Drosophila melanogaster: one gene and its partner. The protein of the gene in region 1 interacts with the protein of each later gene in a pairwise test. Each region holds a gene or a part of one and is shown on either strand. Other genes may lie near its edges.

Region 1 (3,339 bases):
CACATATAAAGCCTTGGCAATTACATTTCGGTCAAATCGACCAGGATGAAATATATAGCTGCAGTAAGTTTCGCGTGGATCCACTCCCTGCTCCATGGTGAGACAATACCGATCCGGTGGCGGTTCTAGAGCAGCCGAAACCCATTTGATTGCGTTGTTGGAGGCAAAATATGCTGCCGAGACATGGAAATCGCCTTCAGCGTTGCTCCAAAGGGCCCAGATGTGCGAGGATGTGGCATCGAAGTCGACCAAATCCGTTTGCGGCGCCGGCACCATGTTCTGCACCAAATTGATAACGCTGGCATCGTCGGCATCGGGCATTATGCTAACGCATATAAACTCAGCTCGGGAATTGTGCGAGAGAAATAGACAGAAGTTTTGATCGCTTATTTTTCGGAGCTGGCTGTTTTGTGCTGTTAAAAAAAAGAATATAATCCCATTATATCTAGATCATAAATCTAAATCGTAATAATATTTTATACTCACGTCCTTGAGCTGCTGAGTCCTGTCCCAGTTCGGTGGAGCAGTTAATGCTGGCTACAGTCTGCAAGTTATCCACTGACCATAGACGCAGCTCATTATTGCGATACAGAACCAGAATGAAAATTTCCCCCCCGATTTCACTGAAAGCCATGGACGTGGCTGCCTCCAACGTTTCAGAGCGGCCGCTACAATGATTAATGAAACATTAGGGATTTGCCATTTATCGAGGTTTATCCACTTACGTGAGGGCACCCTTGAGATTCGACAGAAACCATGGCATTAGCTTCGGCTCCTTGATTTCGTGGGTGATAGTATGGCCGGTGGAGCATTTCATAACGTGAAGCAGTAGTTTGCTCTGATACGCCACCGCAAAGTAGGCTGACTGGGAGTCTTGAGTGAGGTACGATACAGCCGCGTTGGGCATAGTTCCAAAGCCATCCGTGACATAGTAAGTGCTGGGATCATTGATCTTGTCATTGACGTCGTAGAAAATGGACTGGGATAGCAGATCCTCTGGAGAAGCTGCGCCACCTTCCTGCCCAGCGACCTTCAAGGGAAACACATAGCGATGCACACTGCTGACCGTGACCACCAGCAGGGTGACGGATGTACCTTGCTCCGTGAGTGATACATTCAGCACAGCGGAGTCGGTGAATCGCAGACGCAGGTGATTCCTCTGCAGGGAGATGTCCAAACTAACCTCTGATAGTTCCAGGACATCCTGGTATGTCCGCCTGCAAATCAGTGGCCATGTGAAACTAATTTAACGATTCTGATTTGCACTTACCAATATATGAAACGGTTTCTGGTCTGAACATTTTTCGTATTCTTGTAGCAATAGCCGCCGGAGGTTTCGAAGGTTTTTAAATCCTGCAAAGTGCTCTGGGTTCCTACATTTTGCGGAGGAGCATTTGGTTACTCAGAATTTCTCTGGCAATCTTGCACGAAACTCACCCGTGTTAATTTTCACCTCGATCCACTCCGCCGGACTGAGGTTCCGCGGTATGACCTCGCGGTAGCTCATGTTGGCTTGCAGTTTGGATGTGGGCATCTTGCTAGCACAACAAATTAATATAAAAACCTCAACGAAAACGGAAAATTATTGGCGGCACCGGCGTAAACACGCTCAGTAGTAGTGTTGGAAAACGCTTACGCCAGCGGTGCACACCAGGCAAAATAGTCGACATAGCTTTTTATACTCACATACAAAAGTTAATTACAGAAGTTAGTTAAAAATTGTACATTTTCCTAAATGTAATTTCATGACAATAAAGTTTATTATAGCAAAGCAGGAATGATATAAGATGCCTTTAAATCTTGTGATATTAAGAAAGTTGTCGCTAGCATTTTAACAATTGCCACATATTGGTCACACTGCATTGCACGTGTGTTTCCATTTGTTGATGCGGCTTTATTATTTAGTTTATTTTTTAAAATAAAAACTGTCTCTGGCCTAAAAATGAGTGAACAGCAGGATGAGACTGTAGTCTGCCTGCCCGGGGAGCGACTCTGCAGAACCGAGGACAGCATAGTCCTGGGCATAGGCACCTACGAGCAGAATGGCTACATTTACGCCTCCAAGTCTGGAATTGTCAACATCGAAGATTCGGGTGATAAAGTAAGTAATCCTGGCATTTCGTTGACTCTGGGAACCAATTAATCTCCATTTCAGTGCCAGGTGGTTAGTGTGCATAAGCCCGGATTTCATCTAACCATCCCAGCCACCGGAGACGTGGTCACAGCCAGAGTTCTCGTCACAACTCCAAAATTCGCCAAGTGCGCCATTTTCTGCGTACGAAATGTGCTGCTGGAAAGCAGCTACCGCGGACTTCTGCGCAAGGAGGATGTCCGGGAGACCGAAAAAGATCGCGTCGATATCTACAAGTCCTTCCGGCCGGGCGATGTCATCCTGGCGAGGGTCATTAACCAACTGGAGCAGTCCTTCCTCCTGACCACCGCCGAAAATGAACTCGGCGTGGTCATCGCCTATGCCAGTGATTACCGGAAGACCCGGGTGCCCATGGTGCCGGTCGGCTGGAGCGAGATGCAGTGCCCCCAGACCACGATCAAGGAGCCACGGAAAGTGGCTAAAGTTCTGCCTGAGAGTTCAATAAATGCTGTGAAATAAGGTCAATCGCATGTTAATCAGAAGCTTAAATTCATTTGTGGAACTAAAAATGTTTTAGTAAGTGATTATTAGCCAAATAATTATATGTCTTGGCAACCAGAGGACGCTGAATATGGATACAGGTTTATGTTAGCATTTTATTTCCATAGCAACGTTGATAAGTAGCTATTTGACAGTTTACATTATTTCAAATCATTAAATAAATCTATAATTAAGTTGTAAAAGTTCAAAACAAGCTGGTTTCCATAGTTTAGCTTTTATGATTGATACGTATCTTATATTTGTTATTTATTCATGATTGGTTTGTTATAATGATTCAACAAGAGATTAGAATTTAATATTGGATCGTCATGCAATTGCTGTTTTTAAAAGTATCTCTATAGATTCGAAAGTCATGGGAATAGATTAAAGAAATTGTGCGGTAATTTGTTCTAGCAACTTAACAAAACATATTTTATGTTTAAAATAATTCATAAACACAAGGTAATCTAAATATATGCAGGCACATGCACTTTATAGGTTGGCAACATAAAAACTTTTAGGGTAAACGACAGGTACTTATTCCAAGTAATCCGAATTTCAATAACATGCAATTGCACGTGTTCCCAAAAAAAAAAATATATAATCATAAAGGCAAATAGATGGTTGTAAAGGCTCAGGCGTCAGAGGCGTAAAAACCCGTAGCCCGTTGCCAATCAATGTCGCTGGGAGCTGTTGTTGATGGATGA
Region 2 (4,041 bases), on another chromosome or scaffold:
GGTAGGCCAGGCAATCCTTGCCGCTGCCCATGGTCATCGAGAGCACTGAGATGATGTCGGCGCACAACTGGCGAGCCTGCTCATTGGGCATGTGCTTGTACACCGTCTTCATGGTTTCGTAGTGCGGGCGCATGAACTTCAAAGGCTTGGGCACCGAGGTCATCGACGTCGTGGAGGCTCTGATCAATTTGGCCATACTCTCCAGCGTCGGCTGGTAGAGCTTGGCATCCGGCTCCTGCAAGTGCTGCACCAGCAGCTCCAGCTCCTCCTGCAGCTGCTGGTCCTCGTCGGAGAGCTCCGGCTGCTGCTCCTTGTCCTTGCCGTCCTTCTTTTCATCCTTCTTGGCCTTCGGATCCTTGGCATCGCCTTCGGATGCCGCCGGCTTCAGCGGCTTCTTCTCCAGCTTGGTCTCGCCCGTCATGATTTCTTTCCTAGCTTGTCGGACTTAAGGGATTTAATTGGCACTACGTTTTCTTCGATTGTAATGCGGTTTATGCGGCTTTGTTCCTTCTTTTTCGTTGTTGAAACAGCAGAATTACACAGCGCTTTTTGCAGTGTGACCGCGCGGCGAACGCCAGGCTATGCCGCGCTAATCTGTTTAAAATACCAGAATAATCAGCTACCGTTACCACGAGCTGGTAACGTTCAAATAGTGATGGCAGTGACTTTCACCTTATCGATTTTTAGGGGCCTTGCCAATCAAAATTGAAAGGTTTAGAAAGTGAAAGAAAAAGCTAACTATATTTGTGTATGTGTATATATTTAAAAATGTTGTGATATGCAGATATTTTAAATATCCATTTAACTTCCGGCCTTTGCAGTTGTATTAGCTGTAATTCCTTGATATCAACGGAGATCGTTTATATTTTCAAACATGTTGGGCTACTTATGACACAATGCGTTATTTTCTGGCCAAAAAACTCTTGTCTGCTTTTGCTGCGGAAGTATTTGGTGAAGTAGCGAGTCCCAATATGCAAAAATGGGTCTCTTGAAATTAACTGATCTAATCTGATTTCTTCAGAAATTGGTTGATGGTTGGTTAGGATGTTAATGGATCTCTCTAGTTCCAACATTCATCCTGCGTAATATCTTCGTGAGTTTAGGAAAAACATTATTTCACTGACACTGATTCATTAGATGAATTCTCGGCATCTCCTACAAAACTGTCTCCGTCATCGGACCCCAAAAGCTGTGAATTTGAGAAATCCTCTTGATCCGAGGTATTGTGGTTCTAATTTTTTTCTCTCTTGACTTTCATATCAGCAGCAATGGCAGAACTTTTGGTCCTGCAAAAAAAGGAATCAGTCGTCAGGTGTATATAATATTAGAGATATGGGTTTCAAACTATGAATGGGTAACTCCGAAATAATGGCTATTCCGCATGGCTTTTACTTGTCTTGAATTTTCTTTTAAGATAATACTAAAGCTAGCCTCGCAACTCTTCACTGAAATTCAAAAGTAAAATCTATAACGCGGGCATATATCCTACCATCAGTATTCTATTCCGCGACACACTATTCCAGGCCTGATGCAAGGCCATCCATGGCAGTGCTTCTTGTCGGCCATATTCCCAGAAATCTCTTCAGTCTGTACCGAGTGGATTAGCGTTATCTTAAGCGTTGTTTTACACTTCGGCAATCGATTTTTCTGCGATTATATTTAAGCTCTTTTTTCTCTTAGTAACAAAGAAAATACTACTAAGTTATCAATTATCAGAAGGAATCAAAACATTATTTAGACTTTATAAATAATTAGCACAATTAGCACTAATAAGAAGACTTATTTTAGGTTCTTATTATTAAGGTTCTTTGAAGGTTTTCATTCAAATACGATAACCCACGAAACGATACAGAATCGGTATAAAATATCGAAATATACAAAAATACCAGATTTGTATTTTAATCGAAAACTTAAAAGTCTTTAGACCACATGTGAACTCAGTTTGTTTATTTTTATATTCAATCAAAAGATATAATATAAATATGCTAGCGGTGAACCAGACGAAGAACACCCTACTCGATGGAGCCTCCATTGAGGAAGAGCCGTACACAACTCCGCAGGAAAGCGAGGATTTCTTTGAGAGTCTAGACAAACCGTCGAGGGAGCCAACACAACTGGCACCCAGAAACACCTGTTAGAAGTGCACATCCTTATTTGTATTTCAATTTCTCATACCTCTTGTGACTTACAGTCATCCGCGCCGGTGTGTTGACCACAGTGAGAGGTTCCGCCTACATGGAGTATGGTAACACCAAGGTTCTGGCCATTGTGGCCCCGCCAAAGGAGCTAATCCGCGCCAGCGCACGCAGAATGAACATGGGTGTTCTGAATTGCTATGTGAATTTTGCGGCCTTCAGCACAGGGGATCTAGATTCGGTGCCGGAACGGGAACGCCACCTGAGCAGCATGCTGACCAAGGCCATGGAGCCGGTGGTGTGCCGCACGGAGTTCCTTAACTTTCAGCTGGACATACGGGTGCTTATTCTCGACGATGACGGCTGCCTGCTCAGCACTGCCATCAATTGCTGCGGAGTCGCTTTGGTGGAGTGCGGCATTTCCACTTACGACTTAATTACGGCCTCCACAGCTTGTATCTATCGGGATCACGTCTTCCTGAATCCCAGTGCCAAGGTTGAGGAGCTGCTCTGGAAGCATCGCAACAGCAGCACCGATAGCACAACCAGCCCATCATCCGCCCAGGAGCACGGCCTGATCATTACCGCCAGCATGGATACCTTTGAACAGATCGCCCAGTGCCAGCAGTGCGGATATCTCAGTCCAGCCACCTATGTAAAGCTGCTGGATTACACCCTGGCCATTAACAAGTCCCTGAGAGAACTAGTCAAAGGCGTGCTCACGAAGCGGGTGAAGGAGCAGCACGAACTAGATCTACGCGAGAAAGCCGAGACCGCTCTAGAAGATCAGCGTTTGGAGGAAATAATCGAGAAGCTAAAGAAGCAAGGACCAGAGGAGTTTATACAATCGAACATCCGGGAGGATCCCTATGTAAAGAGGCAGTAGTTGGTTGAGAATAAATCATACTAATATAAATCCCAGATCTATTTGAACAACAACCACCACTTAAAAAATGATTACTACAAATATTTAGAGTCCAGATAAAACTTTTATTCGTTATTTTTGCACTTCCAAAGTTCCGAATAGCTTCGAAAATAATAACATCAAATGCGTAGCGCGCTTCAAAACTTTAATTCAGACTTGTATCTTTCCGAAAGTGAATTTGTAGAACTGTAGTGTATCTAGCAATTCTTAAAATGCCTTTTATCTACTGCTGATCCGTGGAGGCCTCAAGCACGGCTCCGGAGTAGGCCAGATCCCAGTAGTGTTCGACCTGGTGCTTCTGAAAAAACTCACGGGCCATTTTTTCCATTGGAAAGATCTTAAACTTGATCTCGCCAAAGTGCCGTCGCTGACTAGTCCCCTCCCAGACGAGTACGCATGAGTTCGGCACGTCCTGGCCGTCATTGCCCTTGGCGTTGTCCTCCTCCCACTTAATGCGCGTTAGCATGAGCCTGCGATACTTTTTCTGCTGCTTGGGCCCACCCTCCACGACAACCACACAGCAATCCCGGAACAACACCACGCTGCCGGTCATCTGCAGCTGCTTGGCATTGGTCTCCACCTTGAATTTCTTGCTCTGGTTGTCCTGCAGATCTCGTATGCGATAGACGCTGACATGTACACCGCAGCTGGTGTCTTCCCTCAGCTTGCGCTGCTTCTTTTCGCTCTTCTGCTCGCTGGTCAGCTTGCGCGCATTGTTGGCATCTTCGTGCGCCTTCTGCCGCTTGGCCATCTGGTCGCGCACATGCTGCTCCATTTTGGTCGGATCTTGTACGGCCTCCGAGCCAAGCACACGCATCAGGTTGGATATGCGCAGTTTCGGCTCTGGTGGGGCCACCAAACCCAGTCGGATCTTCTCCTGCTCCTCCTTCCAGGCCTCGCGACGGTTCTGGCGACGAAGCTTTTTGCGCTCTTTCTTTGTGAGGAAAACCGGCAGATACACTGGTTTCAAGGGCTCATCTG

The links. Proteins that work in one complex are often made in the same cells at the same time.
Region 2: the proteins of Csl4 (region 1) and Mtr3 interact in a two-hybrid assay, tested with the Drosophila melanogaster proteins (2 studies listed by BioGRID).

Annotation. Positions count from the first base shown.
Region 1 is NT_033779.5:11,122,074-11,125,412, reverse strand, and holds Csl4 (Csl4), read left to right. Parts: upstream 1-1,845; 5' UTR 1,846-1,942; coding exon 1,943-2,101; intron 2,102-2,155; coding exon 2,156-2,611; 3' UTR 2,612-2,839; downstream 2,840-3,339. Other genes in the region: Nup160 (nucleoporin 160kD), read right to left, coding at 4-413, 487-668, 726-1,217, 1,271-1,373, 1,438-1,534.
Region 2 is NT_037436.4:19,911,571-19,915,611, reverse strand, and holds Mtr3 (Mtr3), read left to right. Parts: upstream 1-1,896; 5' UTR 1,897-1,982; coding exon 1,983-2,133; intron 2,134-2,191; coding exon 2,192-3,021; 3' UTR 3,022-3,207; downstream 3,208-4,041. Other genes in the region: Rpn1 (regulatory particle non-ATPase 1), read right to left, coding at 1-421; Prp3 (precursor RNA processing 3), read right to left, coding at 3,284-4,038.